3 linked regions of the Arabidopsis thaliana genome follow. The protein of the gene in region 3 interacts with the protein of the main gene of each other region in a biochemical or structural test. Each region holds a gene or a part of one and is shown on either strand. Other genes may lie near its edges. The genes, in order: WDR5a, TRO and BZIP60.

The links.
Region 1: the proteins of BZIP60 (region 3) and WDR5a form a complex in vitro, tested with the Arabidopsis thaliana proteins (one study listed by BioGRID).
Region 2: the proteins of BZIP60 (region 3) and TRO form a complex in vitro, tested with the Arabidopsis thaliana proteins (one study listed by BioGRID).

The regions. Positions count from the first base shown.
Region 1 is NC_003074.8:18,411,703-18,415,462, reverse strand, and holds the start of WDR5a (Transducin/WD40 repeat-like superfamily protein), read right to left. Parts: upstream 1,900-3,760; 5' UTR 1,774-1,899; coding exon 1,108-1,773; intron 528-1,107; coding exon 240-527; 3' UTR 1-239. UniProt on the Arabidopsis thaliana protein: Forms multiple COMPASS-like complexes involved in histone methylation by interacting with different histone H3 'Lys-4' methyltransferases such as ATX1, SDG14 or SDG16.
Region 2 is NC_003070.9:19,072,215-19,075,974, reverse strand, and holds the start of TRO (TRAUCO), read right to left. Parts: upstream 1,648-3,760; 5' UTR 1,577-1,647; coding exon 313-1,576; intron 21-312; coding exon 1-20. Other genes in the region: AT1G51440 (alpha/beta-Hydrolases superfamily protein), read right to left, coding at 3,421-3,760.
Region 3 is NC_003070.9:16,135,584-16,139,343, reverse strand, and holds BZIP60 (basic region/leucine zipper motif 60), read left to right. Parts: upstream 1-1,880; 5' UTR 1,881-1,884; coding exon 1,885-2,321; intron 2,322-2,831; coding exon 2,832-3,282; 3' UTR 3,283-3,621; downstream 3,622-3,760. UniProt on the Arabidopsis thaliana protein: Transcription factor involved in the unfolded protein response (UPR). Acts during endoplasmic reticulum stress (ER) by activating unfolded protein response (UPR) target genes via direct binding to the UPR element (UPRE).

The sequences.
Region 1 (3,760 bases), on a different chromosome or scaffold from region 3:
TGCCTTTGCACTTGCAGGAGTCTTTGCCTTAAGACCTACCTAAATAGTTCTGAGTCACACAGAGAACTATTACAAGTTTAGAACAGTCTGTTGCACTTCCCTTACACCAAACAAAAATTAGACTTTTACATAATGAGGCTAGAATCAATCTAACAAGCTTAGTAAGCAACAGATGATTACTGCATGAAGAAGGTGGCATGTACCTACATGTTTGATTTCTGAAGAGAGAGAGTGATGATTTATTCTTTCTTCTGTGTCCAAATCCTTACTGTCTTGTCGAGCGAGCCTGATGCGATCAAGTTCTCTGTCGGGTGGCATGCTACGTTCATGACGGTCTCAGTATGACCCTCAAGTTTCTGTAGCAGTTTCTTGGAGTTTAGCTCCCACATGTGTACACAGTTGTCCTCGGATCCACTGACTATTCGCTTTCCATTTGTGACGGAGAACGCAGAGGAAATGCAATACTGTGCGTTCACGTGGCCAGTGTATGTTTTGAGGAACTTAGCAGACGAAATGTTCCACAACCTCTGCAAATTTATAACGAATCATGAGAATTCCTTTATTCAACAATACCCTATAGACGCAAACACCAAAAGAAGATGTATCTTACAACCCTCTAAATACGACCCTTCAAAAGTGTTGAATCTCGATCAATAACAGAACTGTTCCAAAGCTATCAACTTTTCCTTAACTAGATAACAATTTTTGCAAAAATAGCTTTGGATTGGCTTCTCCTACATCAAACTTCTATTAACACACAACCTAGAATCTAAGTTCATGGAGAGATGAGTGCATTAATAACGAATCATAAGAATTTAATTTCCTAATGCAAATTAATCAAACTCCAAACGACGATGTATCTTCGAAGCTACAACCCTCTAGATACGACCCTTCGAAACTCTTGAATATCAACCAACAACAGAACTATACTTAAAGCTAACAACTTCTCTGTAAACTTAGTTTTGAATTGGCTTCTCCTACATCAAACTTCTACTAACACACTCTACCCAAAATCTTCATGCTTTTTTTCGAGATCACTATAGAGCAAAACTAGTAATCACACTAAAAACATCAAATCTTTGAAAGGAATTCAACAAGTGAACTCACCAGCGTGTTATCAAGTGTACCAACGAGGATAAACTTGCCATTAGGAGAGAATCTAACAAACGAAACAGGAGGATTCTCATCATCAATCAGAGTTTTCACACAATGACCAGTCCCAGAATCCCATATACGACACAACCCATCATAGCTACTCGAAACAATGAGAGACCCATCTCTATTAAAATCAACAGCAGTAACAGGATCAGAATGCGCGGGAAGAACTTTCAAACACTTTCCAGTAGTGACATCCCAGATCCGAACAGTTTCATCAAACGAACCAGATACAATCATATTTGATTGAGGATTGAAATTGACACAGAAGGCGTAATTAGTGTGTCCAATAAGCGTCTTGATCAATGAACCAGTTTCAACGTCCCATAGCTTTAAGGTTTTGTCATCGGAAGCTGAGACTATAAACCTCGCGTCTGAAGAGAATGCAACATCGGAGATACCGTTTTCATGGCCGGTGAATTCTTGTACGGGCTCGGCGATTGGATCGTTAATGGTGTTGATTGTGTAAGTGCGGATTGTTTTGTCGGCGGAGGCGGATGCGAGGAGACGTCCATCGGAGGAGAATTTCACGGAGGAGACGGCGCGATTGTGAGATGTTAGAGTTTGTGAATGGACGTATGGAGTGAATGATGCTGTTGCTGGAATTTCCTCTGCCATGGAAATTGGTTAGCGGAATTTGAATTTGGCTGATTTTAGGGTTTTGGGAAAGGAGGCTTTGTCTAACTAAAGGAGAGAGACGACGATCCAGTGTTCTTGGAAAAACCCCGACTCTTTTAAATAAATTGTGGGGTGTGTTTTGAATGAAATAATACTATTGGGGTGTATTTAGAGTTTTCGTAAATTATATAGTTTCACGAGCGACTCACGTGCTCGCTTTCCAAGCTCAAACCTTCAGAATGATACAGAGTCTTTTGGAATGTCTTAAAATTTTAGTTCTTTCTTGCTTCGCAAATTAAATCAACAACACTCTTCATATATTGACTACCACAGTTTTAACCTAAGACTCTTTAGTTATCATGTAAGTTTGGTATGCCGTAACAATCATGGACTAGATTTTAACCCTCGGTATACCAGGGGATGATTTATTTTTTAAAAGTAATATATATTAAAATTTGCAAATTTTATTTTTATAAAATATTTATATTTTACAGTTTATAATTGTTATTAAGTAACACTATACCACGAATCCATGAGACAATTGTTAAAAAACTGAAGTTTTAACCCCTATTAAAACAACATATTAATAATATTTTAAAATTTTATAAATATTAATTCAAATACATCCACCATATAACCCAATTCCAAAATAAAACCCGTTATGTAATTTCTTTACCCGTTCCGTGATTTTTTTTTAAAGTAGTAATTTTTAAAATTTAAGAATTATTTATTCTATATAAAAGTTTTGCAAATTGTATCATTCTCTAATACATTTATATTTTATAGTTTAAGTTTATATATAGTAACATTATACATACCACATAACATTTTTGGTTTTATATAATTTTTTCTAAATTAGGATGATTTGATATGTTTAATATTAGTGGTCTTAAAAAATAATAAATTAAAGATTTAACCCGTATTGAAATGGTGGATTAATTATATTTTACTTTTTTTATTAATGTTGATTCAAAAACCCGTCCCTCCAAATCCGTCTTGCCAAAAAGCCATTTATTTTATTAATAGTAATTTTATTTATGATATGACTCTGAATTATAATCTAAACATTTTAGCTAATAACATAGGAGTATACCATATTTATTTAATAGGTGAATGTACCATATGACCCGAATGCACTTTTACCCAAATCCACCAAAAAAGTCTTGCAAAAATACTATAGACCTGAATGTACCATATTTTTTTTTGTGCTAATTTTTATGTGATTAAGATTTACTTTATTTCGTATATAAAATATTAAATTGTTTTACGAACTTAATTGTTTATAATTTGGTAATAGATAGATATTTGAATATTCAGTATATTTTGCTTTAGTTAGAAAATCTTTGATGACCCGTCTTTAAATCCAATAAGCCTATAATTAAGAGATGAATATTGTCGTTAAATGATTTTGGTAATCTTAATGTGTTATTAAAAGATTTTGTTTTTGATTAAATTTTTCTAATGGCATTGTCATGTAATTAATTACAAAAATTAAGGTTACATTTAAAATGTACTTCCCAAATAATATAGTAGGATACATCATACATATTTAATGAGTTTCAATCTTGTACTTGTGACGTTAAATTGATATTTTGGGAGTGTTATTGGTTTGTGATTTAATTTGAGTTTTATTAACTTAAAATATTATGTAAAATTTGTTGTTATCAAATTAATATTTTTAAAAGTTTGTTAAAGTTTGGTACTATTAGTTTAAAATTTGTAAAAAAAAATTTAAAATCTTCATAAATTTGGAGTTATTGGATTCATACTTTTATAAAGTCATTAAAAGTTTTGTGTTATTCAATTAAAACAAAAGAATCAATGATTGTTTAATAAATTAAATTATTGTGTTATTAGTATATAACTTTCTATATTTTTCTTCTTAAAATAAAGTCATGAAAGTATCATCAAAATAATGATATTATTTGGAAAATTTTACAAAATTGTGAGAAAATAATCAATAAGAATTAAACAACTTTCTAGCAAT
Region 2 (3,760 bases), 2.9 Mb from region 3:
GAAGAACGATATTTCACTGCCTGCATCAGAAGTAAAGGTATCGTTAACGAAAGATTGGTCATTAATCTTCCAGAATTGCACAGATACCATCTACATCATAGATGTGGAGGGTAGCAAAAACAAAACTAAGGCATTTATCTTTATGAAGAATCTCCACTATCTATTCTCTACCAAACCATGATAAAGCTACCATCACAAGCAACAACATTCATACACATTTTTAGTCTACTTAAAACATATGCGACTACCAAAAAGCAGAAAAGTCACCCCACAAGAACACGAAAATTAAAGAACAGGTGACGCATGACATACCTGGTACAACTTTAGGAGGCTCCTCTTTAGCATCAGGTGCACAAATATATCTCTGCCCTTTATAAAACACATAATGAGGAGGCTTTGGAGCAAAAGATTCACCATCAGGAAGATTTATGTAGAATCCAATAACATCACCTTCCTTGTACCCTTCCTCAGCATATGTCTCCCTTAAAGCCTTATGTATCTTACACCCATCAATATCCCTAAACCCAAAACTATTCCCATCATACCCAACTGGAGCCTGCAAATCCCCTTTATCAGTCGACCACCCGAGTCGTGTATGACCAGTCTCACCTAAACTCAAAACTTTAATCTCAAAGTACCAAGCTCCTTCAACAACTCCTCTTGTAGCTCTCACCATCCTATACCCTTTACTACTTCCTGCAGTAAGTCTATCTTCACTTATCTCAACTTTCTCAGCTTTGTATACTTTAGAAAGGCAAATTTCCAAGTCAGGTGTATCGTCTCCCTTATCGGGAAATCTAGGCACCGGAGTTATCAATACCTTATCTTCTACAGCTGCTGGATTCGGCGTGTTGGCTTTACTCTTCTTCTTTCCCTTACGTGTGCTCTTAGTCACCCATACATTATTGTTCTTCTTCTTCGATTTAGATTTCTTAGCCGCACTCGCAACCAGAGTCGCCGCTTCCTCCACAACCATAGCTTCCGATGGAAGCACTTGCTCTGGCTCCTCCTCTTCCTTAACAGCGACTGAAGTAAGACAATCTAGCTGCTTAAGCTTCTTATGCGGTGGATCATCTTGCTCTTCATCTCCTTCGTCTTCTTCCATTGCGCTACCGTTCTGATTAGCCACAGAATCCAGTTTCGGAGATTTAGGGTTATCGGAGGAAGAAGTAGTCGGAGCTTCTTCAGAGAATGAATCGGATTCAATTTTCAAATCGGATCCGGGTTGATCAACATCCATAGCTACTACATCTAATTTCTCTAAATCAGTATCGATTGGTTCTTCAATTATACCGGACGATTCCAATGGCGCTAAATCATTCTCTTCAGAAGGAAGAAGAGCGGTTCCGGTGGTAGTTCCTTCGAGAAGAGAAATTGATACTTCTGCTTCTGAAGCAGTTTCGATTGATTCTTCGACAGCATCGGATGATTCCGGCGGCGCTGAATCGTCCACCAGTTCGGAGGGAAGAAGAACTCCGGTAGGTTCTTCGGGAAGCGATACTGAGACTTGTGCTTCTTCAATTTTGGGATTTTGTTCAGCTTCTTCAATTTTGGAATTTGATTGAAGAGACTCCATTGAAACAGAAGTTTTTTTTGATGCAGCCAGTTTGTGGCACTCGCCGACTTGCAAATTTTTGAGAGACTGGCGGATGGCAGAGAAACAGTGAATTATTTTTTTTAAATGTTAGAGACTTATGTGGGCTTTATGAGGCCCAGTAAGAAACTAGGGTTTGGATAAGGGGTGTCCATGTTTTCTTAGTAGTTTAGTCCATTTAAAAATAAAAACGGTTTATGCATCTAACAATAGATTATTTGGCTTTCTCATATATTTTTTTCTAAACTTTTATACTATTATTTGGAAAGTACTATTATATAGAACATTTGAAAATAGTTTTACTTGATATTTTTAAAGAATGTCATCAATACTTAATAGATCAAAAAGTTAAAAAATTATAAGTACTCTAATTTGATCTTTTTATAATAGATATATTTATAATTGGTGGTGGTTAAATATAATGTATAATACGATGGAATGAGTTATTATCCTTATTCTTTACTAAAATTTGTTTATCCTATCGCTTGCATAAAAATATACATACTAATAAAAACTTCCGATTACTTATAAATTGAGCCAAAAACCAAATGCAAGTATTAAAACAACCACAAAATTTCAAAGAAGTAGGCATACGTCGTACAAAAAGTTCACAGCCTTCTTTATTTCTAAAGACGAGGTATTCTAGTCATCCAACATCTATTCAATCCCAATTTTCCAGGGAACCTATTCGGAATAACTCTTCTTTTGCTGGATTATTACCAATATAATCATAAAACAAAATTTTCAGGAATTTTAGCTCAAGCTTCTCGTAAAATATTAATAAAATCGATTTTTTTATTGTAATAAACTTAAAAATTAATTTCATATTATTTAAAATTATTAATTAGTTGAGAAAGGTCAAAACATGAGATTCATTGATGCATTGTATGGTGATTATGGGAAGGAAGTCACTGAAATTATTAAGAAGGATCCTAGTCTTGATTTAGCAAAACAAAAAAAAGGATCATGGTCGTGCATTGCCTACAATGATGAAGAAGAAGCAAGAAGAATGGAGTACATGCCTTGCTGAATTCAAGGAGGTATGGACTGAGATATATATGAAGAATTTTATCAAATTAATCCCTTGATCACAAAACATATGACAAGGAGAGCAAAGCTCGAGTGGTTAAGAAGGCTGAGAGAAAAGAAGGTTGAGGTTAAAGCACTTTCTGATTCCTCAATGCATGATGTGAAAGATTTAGAGATCTCAATGGACAAAAAGAGCTTTCTGTATATTCATGAGTTACGATTTTCAAGTATTTAATTAGATTACAAAGTCATATCTTAAAGAATCTATCAAAACTATCTATATATAAACAACTTTAACTCGAAAGATATGGAACAACTTCTTGTTCTGTTTATTGTGGAACATATCGCATTATCTGTTAATATGATGACAACTCTGAATCCTTTAATTCCTGTCGTGCGCATATTGTAATTGTTATATCATATTTTGGGGAACACAGAGATTTATGATTATTATTTTTTCAAGTGATACACGCACTCAATGCCCTCTTAGCATGCACTTTGTTGTGGTCCACTTTTCTTCCACGTTATATTTGTACGAATTTACCGCTTAACTTTTAACCAATGAAAGTTGTATTGGATCTCTCCTAAACCACATATATACGTGATATCATGTAACCACATATTATATATCTAATCATAGCTTATACATGACAGAGAATGGGGGATGGTGATGACCTCCATAATTATAGAAGTTTAATTAAATCATTAATCAAACACTAACATACTCAATTTATCAAACGTGATCCACACATTAATTACGAAAATATTTTTATAACTATTTATATTTAATTTTCGACTTAAGTCGTTGTGGGTTTAAAATTATCATCGTTAACCTTCCCAAGAACTTGTTGAAGATGATGAGCGATATCCTCCGGTCCGTGAGGTTCAAGCAGTGGTCGGTCCGGAAGAACCCACTGTCCATCGCCGTTCTTGACCATACCTTTGTTCTCATCTTGTCTCCAACAAGGCGGCACATGGTACTCACCTCTCAAGAAATCACAACTCTTATTCACTAAAGCTATGTCTCGCTTTGTCACCAAACAAAATCTCTTCTCTGCTTCTTCGTCTTTTCCATGATAACCATCCACCAAATGAAGCAAAGCTTCTAGGTTATGTGCACAACCCAAATCCTTAGTC
Region 3 (3,760 bases):
GTTACTTAGGACGTTGGGGAAGTTATTTGAAGTTTGGTGAACAAGGAATTGTAGTACATGTGGTAAGTATTCCCGCTTACATACAAACAAAAAAGTAATATACAAAAGGAAATATATGCTTTACGTAGTTAAATAGCTTTGTTAGAGTCCTCTCTATTAGTTTAATTACAAAATTTGCAATCCTTATATTTCTTCATAGGTATTTAATTAGCATTATAAAAGAACTATATCATAGAAAATATACACTATTAACTTTCGATAAGTGACTTTATGAACCACGTCATTAGATCACAAGTCAGGTTAATACAATTGTCCTAAAATTATAATTAATGTAAATAATGTGTTACTAAAATTATAATTACTAATGCTATTATTGACAAGTTCGGTTGATAAGCAAGTCCAAAATCAAATCTCATCAATCAGACTTCTTGGGGACAAGAGATACGACCTCCAAATTTGGTTTTTGTCCAGAAGTTAAAACTAACATCATCTAGCTTTTTAATATTTCTATTGGTGTTTAAAACTTGTCTTCTATTCGTTTCTAATTGAAATTGCACTTTATCTACTTTTTTTAAAATATAATTTAACATTTTATTGAAAAATATATAATCATCAACTGCTTTTAATGTTAAACTACTTTTTAAGTACTTTTTGAAAAAGTGTAATTATTCACACAATCTTGAAATAATTTTCATCGTAAAACAATTTAATAGATGTTAATGTTGGAAATATATAAACATCAGGAATTTGAGGATGGATCTCTGTATACTCCTCATCCTCTGTATTATATTATTTAGATAGAGATTAATGATAATAAGCTACCAAACCATTAGCTAATTCACTATAGTAATATCTATTCCTATTTTAAGTTATGACTACAAAACATTAGCAAATAAACCTTAAATGAGTATGAAGAAAATAGTAAAATATATTTATTCTTTAAAATACATATAATAACAAAAATAAATTTAGAATTGATACAATTAAAGATAAATAATTAATAATAAATGTAAATCTTACATTAATTATTGAATGAACACATAGAAAATAATTAAATAATAACGTGACATTCATATGAAAATAGTAGATCAACTTTCACATATATAATTAGTTCACTCATCTGCTAGAGAACTGAAAATTTTACAAATTCATTCATGTGAGATTGAATGAAGATTAATCACTCATTTAAAATTGAATAAGGAAGATAATCCAGAATGTAACATAAATTGACAATATAATATATGATTTTAATTAACAAATTGATAACTTTCAAAGTCTAGAAGATGGTCACGAAGGAAGAAAAGTCCTCTCGGAGAACAAAGATTCAATCGTGGAAGATGTTGACGGTGACAAAGAGAAAAAGGGACTGAAGAATTTTGATTGATTTCTGAGAAATGGTCAAAGAAGCCTTGCTCTCCTTGGTCTCATTGTCCATCTCAACTACATGTACATCGTTTTGACTATAGCTAACTGGTTTACATAACTGTACCGAAAATAAGAAAATCAAACCAAGAGAAAAGAAGTGAATTAGAACCGAGTTATTAATCACACGAACACTTCACTGAGTACACGTGTTCGGCTGTGATCCTATTCTTCCAGCTTGAAGCCTTCTCATTGGTTGTGTGACGGCACATAAAAACAATAATCCTCTGCTAACAGAAACACTATAACACAGTACACTCCATCACATCATTGGCTAAAAATTCAAAAAACGCGTCCATAATCAACACGTGTCATGCTGACTCTTTTTCTACACATTTACTTGGTCGCAAAGAAATTTAGAAAAGTCTCAAACACAGTTCCTATATAACTCATCTCTCTTCCAATTTCTTAAATTAAATTCGCTTTTTTTTTTCTTCTTTGTATATTTTTTTTTTTTTGACCATGGCGGAGGAATTTGGAAGCATAGATTTACTCGGAGATGAAGATTTCTTCTTCGATTTCGATCCTTCAATCGTAATTGATTCTCTTCCGGCGGAGGATTTTCTTCAGTCTTCACCGGATTCATGGATCGGAGAAATCGAGAATCAATTGATGAACGATGAGAATCATCAAGAGGAGAGTTTTGTGGAATTGGATCAGCAATCGGTTTCAGATTTCATAGCGGATCTACTCGTTGATTATCCAACTAGCGATTCTGGCTCCGTTGATTTGGCGGCTGATAAAGTTCTAACCGTCGATTCTCCCGCCGCCGCTGATGATTCCGGGAAGGAGAATTCGGATTTGGTTGTTGAGAAGAAGTCTAATGATTCTGGTAGCGAGATTCATGATGATGATGACGAAGAAGGAGACGATGATGCTGTGGCTAAAAAACGAAGAAGGTATATCTAATTTTACTCTTGTTTGAAAAGTTAGGGTTTATGGATGGATTTTGTATGTTTGTGTTGATTTTGGTTTCATTAAGATTGTTAAAAGTGTGTTATGCTTTGAGAACAACATTGAGAACTAGGAGATACGTATGTGTAACAGTGAAGATTTGAGAAACGAGTGTTTAAATTTTGCTTGCGTATCTTGTGATATGTTCATGTTATTATGTTTATGTATGTGTGACGTTGAAGAGTTGATTGATTATGAGTGATGTTGATTTTTGTTTCATTTAGATTGCTATAAGTGTGTTATTGTTTTGATAACAACATTGAGAACTAATCATTTAAGTAAATGACTGTTTAAATTTTGGTTGCCTTTAATTATTGTTAATCTTGTGTTAATATTCATGAGCTGATTATGTTCAAACATAGGTATGTGTATTTTGGTTAACTTAAGATTGTTAAAGCCTTTTATGCTATGAAAAGAAACTGAGGTTTGATAATTGGGATGTGATTGTGGTTCAGGAGAGTAAGAAATAGAGATGCGGCGGTTAGATCGAGAGAGAGGAAGAAGGAATATGTACAAGATTTAGAGAAGAAGAGTAAGTATCTCGAAAGAGAATGCTTGAGACTAGGACGTATGCTTGAGTGCTTCGTTGCTGAAAACCAGTCTCTACGTTACTGTTTGCAAAAGGGTAATGGCAATAATACTACCATGATGTCGAAGCAGGAGTCTGCTGTGCTCTTGTTGGAATCCCTGCTGTTGGGTTCCCTGCTTTGGCTTCTGGGAGTAAACTTCATTTGCCTATTCCCTTATATGTCCCACACAAAGTGTTGCCTCCTACGTCCAGAACCAGAAAAGCTGGTTCTAAACGGGCTCGGGAGTAGTAGCAAACCGTCTTATACCGGCGTTAGTCGGAGATGTAAGGGTTCGAGGCCTAGGATGAAATACCAAATCTTAACCCTTGCGGCGTGACAACGCCTTTTTTAACTGCTTCTTTTGCGCATTTTGAGTTGTAGATGAGTGTCTTTTAGTTTTCTCTCTCTTGTTTTGTATTTCGCTGTTGAAAGTTTTCTGTCTAATATCGATAAGTTAACAGTGAATGTGGGTCTTATGGTTATGGATGATATCTATCTAATAATGCTTCTGCCTTTAAAATGTTGATTTTGAGGCATAACTTCAGGTAATATCACTTCTAATTACTAGATAACAATTCATTAGGTTGATTAACATTGATAAAGCTTTTCCTCATGCTAGTTTTTACATGTTTGCTTCATTTGACATTATCACAGTTTTTTTTTTTTTTTTTTTTGTCATCAGATATTATTTAGGGTTCAGACGAGCCAATCTTTGGGATTGTCACAGAGATTTTTGTTTGTAAAATGTTTGGTACGGATGCGTAGGCAGGTAAAAAAAAACGAACAGATAGTTTTATTAGAACAATGAAGATAAG